5 linked regions of the Sus scrofa genome follow. The protein of the gene in region 4 interacts with the protein of the main gene of each other region in a biochemical or structural test. Links are inferred from orthologs where the notes say so. Each region holds a gene or a part of one and is shown on either strand. Other genes may lie near its edges.

Region 1 (2,250 bases), on a different chromosome or scaffold from region 4:
TGGGGGCGAGGACGGCAGGGGAGGGGGCGGCGGGAACACAGTCAGCCCACAGCAGTCTCCAGAGCGCATCCAGGCTGGATGCAGGGTGCGGGTACCAGGCCTCGCGGAGCTCGGGCAGCTCTCTAAACGCCGTGGGTTTCTCTGCCTCAGGGAGAACTAACGCGGACGTGATGGCCGCCCTGTCGCAGGGCTACAGGATGCCCCGTATGGAGAACTGCCCCGATGAGCTCTATGACATCATGAAGATGTGCTGGAAAGAGAAGGCGGAGGAGAGGCCCACCTTCGACTACCTGCAGAGCGTCCTGGACGACTTCTACACGGCCACCGAGGGCCAGTACCAGCAGCAGCCCTAGCGCGGGGACTCGGCCACTCCCGGGATGGCGGCCTCCTCCACCAGGAACAGAGAGCAGCCCCTGGTCCTCGGTTCATTTCCTGAGCTGGGGGCACCTGCCGTCCCTGCTTCCCGCACGTGAGGTGAAGCTACTCAGGAAGAACTCTCTCCACGGGAAAGGATTCTCCTCTCGGGCCAGGGCCTGCCAGGGTGCCCCCCGAGAGCAGACTGGCTCGGCTGGACCCACATCTGGGCACAGGCTTCTGAGGAGAAAGCACCAGACCCACCCAAGGGCGCCCCGGTCAGCTCTTGTTGACAAGAGGCTGTGCCCCCACCCAGGTTCAGAGACCCGTCCAGTAAACCCCCGTTAGGAGAGAACTAAACTCACTGATCAGCATCAAATAACCTGATACCTTTTATGACACTTTTTTGTATTTTCTCTGTGCTTTAGCTTATGTGTTAAAAACAAAAAATTACTAATCTCTGTTAGAGTTTGCAAAAGTGACGTCCGGAGCTTTGGTGTCTTTCCCAGATCTCAGTCCGAGACTGTTAAACGTTGCCCATGGCAGAGACCAGCCTGGAACCCCAGCCGGGAAGAAGCGTCCTCTGCAAGTGGGCAGGGCTGCCGTGCTAAGTGACACGGGCGCCCCCACCCCCCACCCCAAGCCACTGGGGCCTCTGCCCAGACCCCCATGACCCTGTCCCGGAAAAGAGCTGCAGAAACTACTCGGCCGTTAAGAAGAAAGATTTTTAAAGGTCCAGCTTTTCAATTCCACACTTTTCCGTATATGGACTTTTTTGGACCATGTAGTTTGGAAAATTTTAATCCCTGCAGAACATTCTAGGACCTTACAAAACATGAGCATTTTCTTTATTGCTTCCAGTGATTTTGAACATTATTTTAATGATCAAATATTAATTTTAGTCATACTCTAGAAAGTCAACGTGCCATATTTGGGGGCACTTTTGTGATTCAGCAATCTTTTCTAAATTGTGTGACGTGTATGTGAGACTATTTATATGAGGAAATGAAGGGAAAGAAATGAGTAGGGGGCTCGTTACCGAGCCCCTGGAGCAGGGACCACGAGAGGTTTTTCTATTACATTTTTCTACTCTAAGCTTTGAATGGAGATGCTCTGTCACATGTTCCACTTATGCTTTGTGTATATACCTAATATTTCTATTTTTGATTTTATTTTAATACACCTGGCCCAATAACATCTCAAGCTTCTCATTGGTGTTGAGTATTTCCAATGGTTATCTATGTCAAAATGAGTACCAATTAGGGGGTGATTCCACTAGTTACATCACTGAAAAAAATTTGTACAAGTTCTGGGAGTTCCCATTGTGGTGCAATAGAAACAAACCTGACTAGCCTCCATGAGGATGCGGGTTCAATCCCTGGCCTCACTCAGTGGGTTAAGGATCCAGCATTGTCCTGAGCTATGGTCTGGCTGGCGGCTGTAGCTCCGATTTGACCCCTAGCCTGGGAAACTCCATATGCCGTTGTGCAGCCCTAAAAAAAAAAAAAAAAAAAAAAAAAAAAAAAAATTTGTGCAAATTCTGTCTCCATCCCTCAGGTGTTTTCAGATTAGAGAACTGAAGACTTGATGGCCTGCACACCCGGCCATCCCTTTCTAAGGGCCAAACAGGATTTGTTTTCAAAGAGGCTTAGTGGGCACCATTGTAATTTAATTTTATATGTGCTGCCTGGGTGTTGGGTACCTGGGAGAGGGATGAAATTTTCTGCTTTTTCCTAAATTTGGACTTCTTTTCCCATGTGATTTTTTTTTTAAAAGGCCTTTTCTAAAATATTCTAAAATTCTCCATTCTCCAGAGCCATCTTCACAATGGTAAACTTATCATCATATAACGTCTGCACAGCTGGTCACCTGACTCTCAACAGTGTGCTTTCAACA
Region 2 (3,544 bases), on a different chromosome or scaffold from region 4:
TCGGATTCGTTAACCACTGCGCCACGACGGGAACTCCCAATTCCCTCAACTTTAAAACATTAACAGAGGTACATGATGACAAAGCTGGGCATCATGGGGGTCTACAGACTCTGCTGTGGCTAGACACCCCACAGCCCTGCCCTGTCCCTTCCCCTTCCCCCGGGTGTGGTCCGTCAGAGCATCCCCAAGGAGCTGCTACCCACCCAGGCGCCTGGTCCACCTCGGGCGTGTCCATTCATTGGCCTGACGGGAACCCAGACCTCCCAATTTCCTTTCCTGTCGGGGCTGAATCGGAGCGGCCTAACCCAGCGTCACGCCTGGCGCAAAGGAAGCATCGGACCCACACTTTCGAATGCTGTTCCTGGTAACATCCTAGGACCCTCCCGAACGGCTCCCACGCCCTCGCCGTGGGTCTAGGGAGCAGCCCCAGAAGGAGCCTCCTCTCAGACGAGAGGACACCAGCTCTGCCACAGGTGTCTCCTGGCTCTGTCAGTTCCAGGGAGCTTCTCGCTTTGCTGCTTTCGCAACAAGCTGCTCTTTGTTTGGTTCAGTATTTATTATTGCTGCATCTGCTCTGAAAGAGCAGCCACCAATGCTGTGACTAACACATGAAAGGGTGTGTTCGCTCTTAGTATGTTTCATAAGCACCTCTGCCTGTGTGACTAGACTAACAGCCACAGCCAGTGGCTCCTGAATGATTTGCAGAGGGAGCGCTTTACTGTGGGAGAAGAAGGATCTTCCTCTTTTTGAAGCTGGGCCACTAACGTGGGGTCCACTTGCCCTTCTGTGCAGGTTCCGCTCCCTGCTTCCCATCTGCCTGCACCGGCACCCGGCTCCGGGGCCAGCTGCCCTGGGCTCTGGCGGGGGTGGGGACATACCCGTCTCTCCCGGGCCCTTGGAGTGGGGCGTCTCGGGCACGTCTGGGGCGTCTTTGTGTTCGGCGGCTCTCCTGGCGGTCCTGGTCTTGGTGGGCAGTTCCGGGGCCTGCAGCAGAGGGCTCGCGGCCCCTCGCATGCCTTTCTTCCCCAGCTCCTTTTCCACTTCTAAGAACCACCGAAAAATCAATAACAAAACCAGGAGTCATCAGTATTGATGTCCTTTTGGTATGCTGGTTTTCCTTTTCTTTTTAAGACAGCAGTAGTCATCTATACACAGTTACAGAGAAGAGACACACATCCCGAAAAAGCAGCACCGGAGCAGACTTCAGAGTCCTGGCTGCCAAAGACAGAGGGCCACACTCAGCAGCTTGACCGCTGGCCCGTGCTCTCGACCAGGAGGGACTGAAGGACCGGGCTGGAGTCCCGCCCGGCCCTCCCTCCCACCCCACCCTCTCCCCCCACTGCAGGCACCCCAAGGACGGGCACATTACCATCTGATATGCTGGATTCCTGGAACATTGTTTCAAAGGCTTGGTGGATTTCCGCAAAGGAGGGCCGGTCAGAGGGATTCCACTGCCAACCTAGACAGATGAGACCCAAGCCGGACCACCCGTGAGGCTTTGCGAACAAGAGGAAGACTAGCAATCCTCAAGGCAAAGTCGAGAAACTGAAGAAGCATTCCGGTCCCGCTGGCCATCTTGTGCTGTGACAAGTTAAAGTGACGACTGCCACTGAGTCCTATTACAGACCCCGGGAATCTGAGACGACGTTGGGTACGGGCGGGAATGCGGATTATAACACAGGACAGCAACAAGTACATTTACAAAGATGTTTTTCCCAACCCGCCTCTAGCAAGTGCAGAGAATCACTAAACCAAATAGCTTGCTTCCTGTCCTAACCTTTCCTCGCAGTCACCAAAGTCTGAATTCCTCATCAGTAAAGACATGCTCCTTAAAACAAGACGAAAAGGAGATTAAGGACCGACGCAGCCCAGTGTAGGCGAGGCTGTAGCGTCCCCCTTACAGACTTCTGTTGGGAGTATAAACTAATATAACCTTTTTTACAAAACAATTTGGTAACACCTATCAACATTTTAAAATGCACAGAGCCCCCTGAACTACAGGTTCAACTTCTGCAAGACACCAGAATGCGCAGAGGCATACGTATCTACGAGGGAACTGGTTCCTGCCTTGTCCGTAAGAGCAAAAAACAAACAAATGTATACAGCAAACACATGTCCATCAAAGGAGGATGGGATGAATGAATAAATTACGCAATAGGTGCTGGGCAGCTACGTGAAGATAAGAGTGGGTGAAGGAGAAGGGGAAGAGCACGGGAAATCATGGGCGTGGAAAGAGACGCCCGCTACACTGCCAAGTGCAAAAAGGCTGAAGAAGTGAGTTTTTATCATACATACACACATATACGTACACATAAATACATCAAAAGCCGAGTGGACAGGAGTCCCCATTGTGGCTCCATGGAAATGAACCCGACTGGTATCCATGAGGATATGGGTTCAATCCCTGACCCCGCTCAGTGGGTTAAGGATCTGGCATTGCCATGAGCTGTGGTGTAGGTCGCAGACACGGCTAGGATCCCATGTTGCTGTGGCTGTGGTGTAGGCCGGAAGCTACAGCTCAGATTCAAACCCCCAGCTTGGGAACCTCCATGTGCCAGAGGTGTGGCCCTAAAAAGACCAAAAAAAAAAAAAGTTGAAGGAATGAATTTTTATATATACATACACACATATATATACATATTAATAAATTAAAAACTGAGTGGACAGGAGTTCACATTGTGGCTCAGTGGAAATGAACCTGACTGGTATCCATGAGGATATGGGTTCAATCCCTGACCCCGCTCAGTGGGTTAAGGAGCCGGCACTGCTGTGAGCTGTGGTATAGGTTGTAGATGCAGCTCGGATCTGGCATTGTGTGGCTGAGGTGCAGGCTGGCAGCTGTAGCTCTGACTTGACCCCTAACCTGGGAATTTCCGTGGGCCTCACTTGAGGCCCTAAAATAAATTAAACCACCACCAAAACCGAGTGGATGAAAATCACCTGGAATATTTACCTACTATACCAGCAATTTATATTTATTAATAAGAAACCCAGGTTTGGTATCCATCCACGTCACTTTTGCATTAAGAACAAACAAAAGACCCTCACATATAAATACTATGTAAAACTAAAGGTGCACAGACACACTGGAAAAGGTACAATGCTATGCGCCAAACTGTCACACGAGTTGTTTCTGAAGGAGGGAAGGAGAGGAAGCAAGCGAGCGCTTTGGCCTCGCCCTGCCCGGGTCTCCTCAACGCCCCCCGACCTGGGGAAGTCCCACGCTTCCCTTCCCAAAGGGAGGCTCACATGCTCGCATGAGTTCGTAGACCTTCTCCGGGCAGCCTTCCGGGCGCTCCATGCGGTAGTCTTTCTCTAGCAGCTCATACACCTGGGACAGGTCAATTCCTGGGTAAGGTGACATGCCGTAGGTGGCAATTTCCCAAAGCAAGACTCCAAACGCTAAAAGACAAAGAGCAAGAGCAAGACAGCTCAAGATGTGGGAGCTTTAACCACCGTGCACTGGAAAGCAGGAAACCGCGCCGCAGACGTCAGAAGCCACGCCCTCAGAAGCAGGCCAGGCACGGACACTTCACGAGGCTCT
Region 3 (3,544 bases), on a different chromosome or scaffold from region 4:
TTATTTTATTTTTTGCTATTTCTTTGGGCCGCTTCCACGGCATATGGAGGTTCCCAGGCTAGGGTTCTAATCAGAGCCATAGCCGCCGGCCTACGCTAGAGCCACAGCAACTCGGGATCTGAGCCGCATCTGCAACCTACACCACAGCTCACGGCAACGCCGGCTCCTTAACCCACTGAGCAAGGGCAGGGATCGAACCTGCAACCTCATGGTTCCTAGTCGGATTCATTAACCGCTGCGCCACAATGGGAACTCCTGCTTTTATTTTATTTTTAATTTTTTAAAGTTTTATTGAAGTATAGTTAATTTATAAAGTAAAGCATACAACACTTCACTTCTGCTGTACAACAAAGTGACCCAGTTCTATACATATACACATATCCATTCTCTCTCACATTCTTTTCCCACATAGATTATCACAGAATACTGGCTAGAGTTCTCTGGGCCATGCAACAGGTCCCCGTTGGCTAATCATTCCATAGACCTCAGTGTGCCTATGCCCATCCCAAACCCCCAGTCCATCCCTCCCACCCCCCAACCTGTTCTCTTTGCTAACCATAAGTTTTTCAAAGTCTGTGCATCATCTCTTTCTGTTCTGCAAATAAGTTCACTTGTATCTTTTTTTTTTTTTTTGGCCCATTTTTAGGGCTGCACCCAAGGCATATGGAGGTTCCCAGGCTAAGGGTCGAATTGGAGCTGTAGCCACTGGCCTACGCCACAGCCACAGCAACTTGGGACCCGAGCCTCGTCTGCGATCTACACCACAGCTCACAGCAACACCAGATTCTTAACCCATTGAGAGAGGCCAGGGCTCAAACCCAAGTCGTCATGTATACTAGGTAGTTTCGTTAACCACTGAGCCACGATGGAAACGCCCTCATTTGTATCCTTTTTTAAAGATTCCACATATAGGTGATATCATGTGATGTTTGTCTTTTACTGTCTGACTAACTTCATTTAGTCTGATGGTTTCTAGGACCATCCATGTTGCTGCAAATGGCATTATTTCTTTCTTTTTTATGGCTGAATAATATTCCGTAGTATATATGTACCACATCTTCTTTATCCGTTTCTCTGTTGATGGACATTTAGGTTGCTTCCATGTCTTGGCTCTTGTAAATAGCACTGCAATGAATTTTGGGGTACATGTATCTTTTTGAATTATTTCCTTCTTTTTCTAAGGCTAGTATTCTGTTGTATATATGTACCACATCTTCTCTGTTTATCTGTTGATGGACGCGTAGGTTGTGTCCATACCTTGGCTATTGTGAAGAGTGCTGCAGTGAACATGGGATTGCAGATAGCTCTTTAAGCTACTGATTTCACTTCCATTGTGTGTATACCCAGACATTGCTAAATCATACGGTGGTTCTATTTTTAATTTTTAGAGGAACCTCCCTATTATTTTATGTAGTGGTTGCACCAATTTACATTCCTACCAACAGTGAACAAGGGTTCCCTTTTCTCCACATGCTCACTGGCATTTGTTATCATGTGTGTTTTTTATAAGCATCATCCTAATACAAATGAGGTGATATCTTTTTGTAGTTTTGATTTGCATTTCCCTGTGATTAGTGATGTCGAGCACTTTTTAATGTACCTGTTGGCCATCTGTACGTCTTCTTTTAAAAAGCGTGTGTTTAGGTCCTTTGTCCTTTTTTGAGTTGTTTGTTTTACTGTTGAGTTGTACAAGTTCCTTGTATATTTTGGATATTAACCTCTTATCAGATATAGATAAGGTTTGCAAACATTTTCTCCCTTTCTATAGGCTGTCTTTTCATTTTGTCGATGGTTTCCTTTACGTAGCAGAAGCTCTTTGGTTTGATGTAGTCCCATTGGTTTGTAATGAATAAGACATGGCCTCAGTCCCTATGGTATTTATAATCTGTTCAAGAAGGCAGAAATACAAACCGATTTTAGTAGTATTTTAAGATTCTGGGGAGTTCCCATTGTGGTGCAGTGGAAACAAATCCAACTAGTATCCATGAGGATAACACTTTGATCCCCAGCCTTGCTCAGTGGGTTAAGGATCCAGCATTGCTGTGAGCTGTGGTGTAGGTTGCAGATGTGACTTGGATCCGGTGTTACTATGGCTGTGGTATAGGCCAACAGCTGCAATTCTGATTCCACCCTTAGCCTGGGAACTTCCATATGCCATGGGTACAGCCCTAAAAAGCAAAAAGGAAAAAAAAAAAAAAAAAAGGAAAAAAAAGATTCTGTTCGAAAATAGTGCAACGTGGACCTCTTGTTTTGGGTTCACATTTACTTTTCCTTAAGACTTTCAATTATTGGTAGGTGGCGTTTTGACATTTTTTGATCTTAATTATTATTTTCAGGTATAAGAAAAGCACTACCTCCAGCACCAGCACCAGAAAAAAAGAAGGTAAAGTGGTCTTTAATGTTCAGAAGCATTTGCAGTTGATTAAGAACATTTATATTCATTTGTGTGATGCTGCCCCTCTGCAAAGATCGTATCAGAAATGGATAGACTGTGGCTTACTTGATTTTTATCTTGATGTCAAACTATATCATTTAATTGAATCAGATATTATCATTGGGGGCCCTCTTATCATCTGACAGTTTGATTGTATCTTAGATTCAAGAGTTGCATAAGATGTGTGGGACTTTAAAGGAATATTTCAATCTTAAGACCACAGTATTATGACAAGGGAGTGCAGTCAGTGATTTAATGATGTCCCTTTGAATAGTGAGCTATCGTGGAAAACACATGTGCTTTGGACTCAGAGAGAAGCTGGTTCAATGTAAATCTGATATGAGTGACTTTGGGTAGGTTACTTAAACCACTGTTTTTTCCGTTGTAAAGTGAGAGTTGCATACTCTACCTCATGGGATCGGAATTGAGAGTAAATGAGAAAAAGTGTGCTAGGTACTAAGAGTGTACCTTGCACATAGTAGGTGCAAAGAAGTGAAAATCCCTTTGTGCAGGAGGAGACCTGATGCAAGACTATGCCATAGTGCCCCTTTCCCCAGCTCTGGCCATTAAATGCTGGGGTTGCCTTGAGTCCTCCCAGTTTGTAGTCACATGTTACCCTTGCCTCTCCCTGGAAAACCTGCCCTGACACTGAGCAGAAGCCTCCTGATGTTTAAAGACAGCTTTTGCCCTTGTCCTATATTCTGAAACCCATGAGCAGCCCAGTAGCATCAACATCATTTAACTCATTGGGGGGGGGGGGGGGGATTCACCAGATTGTCTTAGACTCGATTCTCTGGTGATGTGCATATCAGTTAGTGTTTTACCTCGCATCTGATTTCAAACAGAAGACTAAATTCTCACATGGTATCTCCTATCCTTAGCGAAGGCCTCCCCCACCAATTCCACCCGAAGAAGATAATAGTGAAGAAATCGTGGTAGCCATGTATGACTTCCAAGCAACGGAAGCACATGATCTCAGATTAGAGAGAGGCCAGGAGTATATCATCCTAGAAAAGAATGATGTTCACTGGTGGAGAGCAAGAGATAAATATGGGTGAGTATTCCCTCTCTGTGGATGGTACACAGTGGATGGCCCAGAGTTCAATACTG
Region 4 (4,180 bases):
GGGGTGGGGTTGTCCAAGCCTCTGGCCAACACCGCCACCGCCATCACCGGGCAACCGGAGGCGAGGGCACCAATCAGTTTCTCAGCCAAGGCCTTTCCTTCCGTGTGGAGCGGAGAACAGCCCCTCTACAGGGAGCTCCCCCCACCCCCAACATGCTTCCCCCAACTCAGACAAACAACCCAACAAGACAGCTTTGTTCGGGCACATCTTGGCTTGGGGACCCAGGGATGGGGCCTCACAGAGGAGCCCCCAGCCTCAGGGCCCTCCCGGCTGCCCTATTTGGAACACCCTGTACCCCACCCCCCAATACCTGCTTCCTTTCTCCACTTTCCTCCTGCCTTCCTCTTCTTTGACAAAAATAGAGCCCTCAGTAGGTTGGCTTCCCTTTGATTCTATCCCACATCACGCCTTTCCCCTGCTCCTTCCACCATCCTCTCCATCCGCAACTCCCCTTCATCCTGCCGGCAGCCTGACTCCCCCTACCTTGGCCTGAGCGGGGCTCTAGCGGCTGGGAGAAGAGTCCTGGTCCTGGAGATCAGTCCTAGGACTTCCAAAAAAAGTGCTCTGCCAGGGGAGACTGGATCCCCCCCTTTTCTCCCCCCTCTCCTTTCGTTCCTCCCAAGTCCCCCTGGGCCCTCCCACATTCCGCCTTCTCCCTTGATCCCTCGCAGGCCAGTTCCCTCCTCTTCTCTCCCCCTCCTCCTTGGAGAGCTGGCCGCTGCTGTTGCTCCACCTCCCTCCCGCCCTCCTCCCCGCCCCTCCCAGTCTGTTTAATAAAGCTTTCTTTTCCCGGGGGTTGGATGCTGGGCAGCTGCGGCCGGGAGAGCTGGGCACATGAGGGGCCGCGGGGCCGCAGGCCGTCGCGGGCTGCGTGCCGTGCGGGGATCTCCGCTCCGGGAAGTCTTCCAGTCCCCAGCCCTTCCCCACATCCCCAGCTCTGCCGGTCGTAAACAGCACATCTCGGACCTAGCTGGAGATGGGTCCCATCGGAGGAATTGTGGCCACGAGGGCCCACGTGGTTACTCCGGTGCCCCAGTGTGCCCTTTGGCATTTTTCGAGGTGATTTCACGGCCTTCATTCCGAAGTCAAGTTGAGCATCTGAGGTCGCACAGTCCCCAAGCCCAGGTGCCAGAACTTTCTGATGGAAACCACGAGTTTTCTCTTGAGAGAGCCACTTGGTAGAGCCACCCAGGAATAGGGGTAGGGGCCTGGAGGTGGTGCACCGTGCAGCTTCTCTGGTACCCCCTCCCCTTCCTTCTTGCTCCTCTCCTTCCTCCCTTTCGCGGTCCTAGGAGGTCGGGGAGGAGCGGGAACGCCTCCCGCGGGCCCCGCCCCGCCCCGCCCCGCCCTCCGCCCGGCCCCGCCTGGGGCCCGCGGGGCCAGGAAGCGCCGAAGGAACCGCCGGGGGCCATGGACGGGGCCGTGATGGAAGGGCCGCTGTTTTTGCAGAGTCAGCGTTTCGGTACCAAGGTAGTCTGGGCAGGGGTTGTCGAACCCCCCATCAGAGTTAGGGGTGGGCGACTGAGCCCAGGAGGGAGGAGGTGGGCAGCGGGATAGAGCGGAGCGCCGGGAGCCAGAGATCCTGTGACGGTCCCGCTGAAATGTTTTGCACACACTCGGGAGAAGCGTCTGCCGGCCTCCGGGTACGCCGCCTCTGGTCCTGGGGAGACAGAGCGGCATCCTCCTTAGGGAACTTCGCCCGCCGTCGGGAAGCCACAGACCTGAAATGGGCCTGCGCGGGTCCTTCCTTCCCCGTCTGGGCTCGGGTCGCGTCCTTCCTTCCCCGTCGGGCCCGGGCCGCGGGTACTTGCCGGGTCCCTGCCCAGCTTCCCTCGGCTCTCTGTCTCCCCAGAGATGGAGGAAGACCTGGGCGGTGCTCTACCCGGCCAGCCCCCACGGCGTCGCGCGGCTCGAGTTCTTCGACCACAAGGGGCCGAGCTCTGGAGGGGGCCGAGGGGGCTCGCGCCGCCTGGACTGCAAGGTGATCCGTCTGGCAGAGTGTGTGAGCGTGGCCCCGGTGGCCGTGGAGAGCCCCCCTGAGCCTGGCGCCGCAGCCTTCCGCCTGGACACCGCACAGCGCTCCCACCTGCTGGCGGCGGACGCGCCGTCTAGCGTCGCCTGGGTGCAAACGCTGTGCCGAAACGCCTTTCCGGTGAGGGGGCCGGGGTGTTGGTGAGGGTCTGGGGCGAGCTGCCCGGGGCCCAGGAGGCGATGTCGGGTGGGAGCAGTTACAGCTGCAGAGGAACTGGGCGGCCCCGAGCCTGGGAACGGTGTCGAAGGGAATTACAGCCTCTCTCTCTCTACCCCAGAAAGGCAGCTGGGCTCTGGCGCCTGCTGAGAACCCACCCAAGCTTTCTGCCCTGGAGATGCTGGAGAACTCGCTGTATAGCCCCGCCTGGGAAGGTAGTTGCCCAAGAAGCCCCAGCAGGGATGGGGTGGAAAGAATGTCCTTGGGAAGGGAGTGGTTCCTACAAAGGCAAGGAGGAAGCTCCTGAGAGCCGGCTTTCAAACGTGTGCTTGGACAACCTGCCCCTTCCCCGCAAGCCACTCCCGCAGGTGCTAGTCTAACTGTATCCCTTCCAGGATCCCAGTTCTGGGTAACTGCGCAGAGGACTGAAGCCGCCGAGCGCTGTGGCCTGCATGGCTCCTATGTGCTGAGAGTGGAGGCTGAGAAGCTGACTCTCCTGGCCGTGGCGGCCCAGAGTCAGATATTGGAGCCACTCCTTTCCTGGCCCTACACCCTGTTGCGTCGCTATGGCCGCGACAAGGTGCGCTGCCGTCAGGGAGGGCTGGTTCCCTGGGTAGGGCAGCTGTGGGATGGGTGAGGCAGGACAGGAATGTGGGAAGTTCTGCCCTCTGGATAACCCTTTCTGGCCTAGCCCTTGACCCCACCTCCCTTCCCAGGTGGTCTCCTCTCCGTGGGTCCCCTAACTAGTTACAGCCCTGTGACCCACCTCCCCTGAGGACTCTGGGTAATGATTCCCTGATTCCCTCCCCACCCCTCTTCAGGTCATGTTCTCTTTTGAGGCTGGTCGCCGCTGCCCCTCCGGCCCTGGAACCTTCACCTTTCAGACAGCACAGGGGAATGACATCTTTCAGGCAGTGGAGAATGCTATCCACCGGCAGAAGGCCCAGGGAAAGGCTGTCCAGGGGCAGGATGTTCTCAGAGCTGATTCCCATGAAGGAGAAGTGGCGGAGGGGACGTTGGCTTCTCCCCCCGGCCCCCAGGAACTGCCAGGCAACCCTCCAGCTGTGTACGCTGAACCCTTAGACTCCCTGCGCGTTCCTCCACGCCCTTCCCGAGATTCCCTCTACTCAGACCCCCTGGACAGCACTCCTGCTCGGGCAGGGGAGGGGGCACAGTTGAAGAAACCGCTCTATTGGGACTTGTATGAGCATGTGCAGCAGCAGCTGCTGAAGACCAAGTTGACAGATCCCAAAGAAGACCCCATCTACGATGAACCTGAAGGCCTGGCCCCCGCTGCTCTCCGGGGCCTCTACGATCTGCCTCAGGAGCCCAAGGATGCATGGTGGTGCCAGGCTCGGGTGAAGGAGGAGGGCTATGAGCTCCCCTACAATCCCGCCACTGATGACTACGCTGTGCCACCCCCTCGGAACACAAAGCCCTTCCCAGCTCCCAAGCCCCAGGGCCCGGCCTTCTCTGAAGCTCGGGCTGCAACTGGCAGTGGCAGCAAAGGCCACAGCTCAGACACTGCCCTATACAGCCAGGTCCAGAAGAGTGGAGCCTCGGGGAGCTGGGACTGTGGGCTCTCTGGAGTGGGGACTGACAAGATGGGGGTCAAGTCGGAGGACTCAACATGAGAAGGAGGGCGAGGCTGGGGGTGCTGCCAGGAGGTGGCACTGGGGGTCAAAGAAACCTATTAAAACCAGCAGGAACCAGAGGGACATGCGTGAGACCAGGGGACAAAGGGAGTCAAGGGAAAGATCTGTCCCACGAAGTCATGGATGGAAGTGGGACAGGTGGCAGGGCCTCGGGGATGGGATCTGGGGGAGGCCAGCACCTCTAAGTCATCCCCACCAAAGGAAGGCATAGCTGGTGGACCAAGTCTCTGGAAAGGGGTGTTTGGTCTGAGTAGATGCAGTTTGAGGGGCCTGGATGGGCTACAGGGAGACACTGGGCTGTGTCTGGATCCTTCTCCCTGCGTTGTTCTTTGCCAGA
Region 5 (3,544 bases), on a different chromosome or scaffold from region 4:
ACAAGTGATTCAGTTATACATATGCACACATCTATCCTTTTCCAGATTCTATACCAGCTTTCTTACAGCTCTTGAATAGTTCATGGTTTTTGTTTTTTTGTTTTTGTCTTTTTAGGGCCAAACCTTTGGCATATGGAGGTTCCCAGGCTAGGAGTCAAATTGGAGCTGCCTCTGCCAGTCTACGCCACAGCCAGAGCAACACCAAATCTGGGCTGCATATGCGATCTGTATGCCACAGCTCATGGCAATGCCGGACCCTTAACCCACCGAGCAAGGCCAGGGATTGAATCCGTTTCCTCATAGATGCTAGTCAGATTCTTTACCGCTGAACCGCAATGGGAACTCCTAGTCCATGGATAAAAGCATCCACAATACCATCTATTCAGATTATGCACATACTCTCTTTTTTCCAGTACATTTCTACTTAGCTTTATCTCCAGATCCTGTTGTAAGTCAACCTGAGGGGTACCTGTGTGAAAGGGGTTTTAGCCTCCACAGGCTGAATTAGATATTATTTCTCTGTACTTCATTCACATTAACCATTGTTAATAGCCCTTCTCACATTGTAATTGATTTCTTGCCTCCTTGGCTAGACTCTGATTTCCATATAAGTCAGAGAGTGTGTTTTAATAAAGTCTGTATCCCACATCCCTGCCTCTCAGAGACTATGGCACATAATAGGCATTCGGTAAATGAATGAAGTAAACATTAAGTACTGAATTTATCATATTATTGGAAACCCCTTTAACGGAAAGCATTTAACATTATTGAGAAGATGGAATGTTAGGAAAATTTGCGTGACTAATTACGGTGTCATCTTTTTAGACAGTAATCATTTCATGTTTTTCTATCAAAGTATTTATGCGCTGCCAATTGAGCCGGTTACAGAAAGGGCATGCCACAGATGAATGGTTTTTGCTCAGCTCCCATATACCATTAAAAGGTATTGAACCAGGATCTCTGCGTGTCCGAGCACGATATTCTATGGAAAAAATCATGCCAGAAGAAGAATACAGCGAATTTAAAGAGGTATTAAAGTTATTTACTAGTCTAATTGTTTTTAATGGCATTAGCAAGAAATACTTTTAATGAAAGATCCATTGAGTTAAATGTAGTAATTTCATAGTTTAATGGCACACTGACAGGCAGAGAAGGTTAAAAAGCCGTGCAGCAGTATGCTATTGGTCTTAAGAGACTATAAATATGTAGCTTACAAACTCATTCTATTTTTAATACATTTATTCAATAGAACATATTCCTAAATATAAGAATGTATAAAAACATAATTTCCTGTTAATCTGAGAATGCTTAATGCTCTCTTACTTTCAATTATTTTTCCTGATGTCATTTTTAGCTTATACTGCAAAAGGAGCTTCATGTAGTCAATGCTTTATCACATGTATGTGGACAGGATCGAACACTACTGGCTAGCATCCTACTGAGGATTTTTCTTCATGAAAAGCTTGAATCCTTGTTGTTATGTACACTAAATGACAGAGAAATAAGCATGGAAGGTATAGTATGGATGTGTTTCTGTGATACTTTTAAAAATTGGATTAATAGGTTTTATATATATCAAGTATATACAGACTCCATCTTAGACTATATTAAATAGTTAAATTATCTTACAAAGTAAGTTACTGTTTTTCCTTCTTTAAAAATTACAGTTGGAATGTCATTTCTGATTCTTTATGCTGGCTAATGGGGAGCAGCTATTATTTCTTTTTCTTTTTTGTCTTTTCTAGGGCTACACCCTCAGAATATGGAGGTTTCCAGGCTAGGGGTCTAATTGGAGCTGTAGCTGCCGGCCTATGCCAGAGCCACAGCGACGTGGGATACGAGCCGCGTCTGTGACGTACTCCACAGCTCACGGCAACACCAGATCCTTAACCCACTGAGCGAGGCCAGGGATCGAACCCACAACCTCATGGTTCCTAGTCAGATTCGTTAACTACTGAGCCACCACAGGAACTGCTGTTAGTATTTCAAATACAAGTTTCTGTCATGGCAAATTAGTATTAGGTGCTATAAGAAAGTGACTTCCATGTCCAGATCAATGGTTCACAGTGCTTGATTATTAAGAAGTTTGGCTATTTCCATATTCTCTTGTTTATTTTTCATTTAAAAATTCATTGTACAAGTTAGGTGTCTGCATTTTATTTCTAGCTTCTATGATAGGTAGTTCTAGGCAGTATAGCTGGACACGATCTTTGTAACAGCTTATAAATATGTTATAAAAAGGGATTTACAACCAGCACTTTGACTCAGTAATAGTCCTTGCTTCTGGATTCCCCAAATAAACTGTAATACCCAGAACTATTTCCTCCTAGTCATAAAAAAATGTAAAAATATATATATTTGTCAGGAAAGATAAAGTGGTGGTACATGTTTTGCATTAAGATTGTCTTTTCTGGTAATACTTGCATTTTTTAGGATTTTACTAATGTCATTAATAGCTATGCTTAGGCTAATAAGTTAATTTATACTGGGATTTTATTGTGCATTCTTGCTTGGAAATTAGCTCAGATTTTTTTTAAAGCATGAGCTCAGTAGAAAGAAAAAGCTACATTCTGGCGCTAAGTTTTGTCACTATTTGGTTCTTTAGTCCTAGATGATAAGTTATATCACTTTCAAAAGTTTTTGGTTTTTTCTTTTTTTTTTAAGATTAACTTAGAGATTTTATTTTTTATAACTTTTTAGGGCCGCACCTGCAGTAGTATATGGAAGTTCCTAGGCTAGGGGTCAAATTGGAGCTGCAGGTGCTGGCCTGAGCCACAGCCAGGGCAACACAGGATCTGAGCCACATCTGTGACCCACTCTACAGCTTGCGGCAACACCAGATCCTTAAACCACTGAGCAAGGTCAGGGATGGAAACTGCATCCTCATGGATACAGGTCTGATTCTTAACCCACTGAGCGACAACAGGAACTCCAACTCTTTGTTTTGTGATATGAACATGGCAGTGTTAATTCCTCTCCTGTTTATGATCTAATGAAGATTAAGAATTTATTTATTTATTTATTTATTTATTGTCTTTTTAGGGCCGGACCCGTGGCATATAGAGGTTCCCAGGCTAAGGGTCAAATCAGAGCTATAGCCGCTGGCCTACACCACAGCCACAGCAACGTGGGATCCGAACTGCATCTACTACCTAAACCATAGCTCATGGAATTGCCAGATCCTTAACCCACTGACTGAGGCCAGGGATTGAACCTGTGTCCTCATGGGTGCTAGTCAGATTCATTCCTCTGAGCCACGATGGGAACTCCAAGAATTAATTCTTTATCTTAATTCATTATTTAAGATTTAATTAAGAATTAAGGATAAATTATGATCTTTTAAAGAATTATGTTTATAGAAATATAGAATGTCAGTATAATCAATACTTTATTGCTGATTGCAAATAAGCATGTTTAAATGATAATTGGTTGAGGAAAAATGAATTGATTTAATTTTCAATTTGGTTCACATTAATACAATCCTTTACAAACAATCTTTTAATATATTTATGTAGATGAAGCCACTACTCTATTTCGAGCCACA

What was found.
Region 1: of the proteins of DOK1 (region 4) and LYN, one has a biochemical effect on the other in vitro, tested with the Homo sapiens proteins (2 studies listed by BioGRID, with this or other methods). The link is inferred for Sus scrofa from reciprocal best matches to the Homo sapiens genes DOK1 and LYN.
Region 2: the proteins of DOK1 (region 4) and ABL1 form a complex in vitro, tested with the Homo sapiens proteins (5 studies listed by BioGRID, with this or other methods). The link is inferred for Sus scrofa from reciprocal best matches to the Homo sapiens genes DOK1 and ABL1.
Region 3: of the proteins of DOK1 (region 4) and TEC, one has a biochemical effect on the other in vitro, tested with the Homo sapiens proteins (2 studies listed by BioGRID, with this or other methods). The link is inferred for Sus scrofa from reciprocal best matches to the Homo sapiens genes DOK1 and TEC.
Region 5: the proteins of DOK1 (region 4) and RASA1 form a complex in vitro, tested with the Homo sapiens proteins (2 studies listed by BioGRID, with this or other methods). The link is inferred for Sus scrofa from reciprocal best matches to the Homo sapiens genes DOK1 and RASA1.

The regions. Positions count from the first base shown.
Region 1 is NC_010446.5:75,794,973-75,797,222, reverse strand, and holds part of LYN (tyrosine-protein kinase Lyn), read left to right. Parts: intron 1-150; coding exon 151-353; 3' UTR 354-2,250. UniProt on the Homo sapiens protein: Non-receptor tyrosine-protein kinase that transmits signals from cell surface receptors and plays an important role in the regulation of innate and adaptive immune responses, hematopoiesis, responses to growth factors and cytokines, integrin signaling, but also responses to DNA damage and genotoxic agents.
Region 2 is NC_010443.5:270,897,603-270,901,146, reverse strand, and holds part of ABL1 (tyrosine-protein kinase ABL1), read right to left. Parts: intron 3,403-3,544; coding exon 3,250-3,402; intron 1,460-3,249; coding exon 1,370-1,459; intron 1,044-1,369; coding exon 879-1,043; intron 1-878. UniProt on the Homo sapiens protein: Non-receptor tyrosine-protein kinase that plays a role in many key processes linked to cell growth and survival such as cytoskeleton remodeling in response to extracellular stimuli, cell motility and adhesion, receptor endocytosis, autophagy, DNA damage response and apoptosis.
Region 3 is NC_010450.4:38,078,866-38,082,409, reverse strand, and holds part of TEC (tyrosine-protein kinase Tec), read left to right. Parts: intron 1-2,336; coding exon 2,337-2,383; intron 2,384-3,315; coding exon 3,316-3,488; intron 3,489-3,544.
Region 4 is NC_010445.4:68,494,568-68,498,747, reverse strand, and holds the start of DOK1 (docking protein 1), read left to right. Parts: upstream 1-1,373; 5' UTR 1,374-1,410; coding exon 1,411-1,470; intron 1,471-1,852; coding exon 1,853-2,152; intron 2,153-2,309; coding exon 2,310-2,403; intron 2,404-2,583; coding exon 2,584-2,768; intron 2,769-3,009; coding exon 3,010-3,822; 3' UTR 3,823-4,180. UniProt on the Homo sapiens protein: DOK proteins are enzymatically inert adaptor or scaffolding proteins. They provide a docking platform for the assembly of multimolecular signaling complexes. DOK1 appears to be a negative regulator of the insulin signaling pathway.
Region 5 is NC_010444.4:94,973,577-94,977,120, forward strand, and holds part of RASA1 (ras GTPase-activating protein 1), read left to right. Parts: intron 1-856; coding exon 857-1,029; intron 1,030-1,354; coding exon 1,355-1,514; intron 1,515-3,515; coding exon 3,516-3,544. UniProt on the Homo sapiens protein: Inhibitory regulator of the Ras-cyclic AMP pathway. Stimulates the GTPase of normal but not oncogenic Ras p21; this stimulation may be further increased in the presence of NCK1.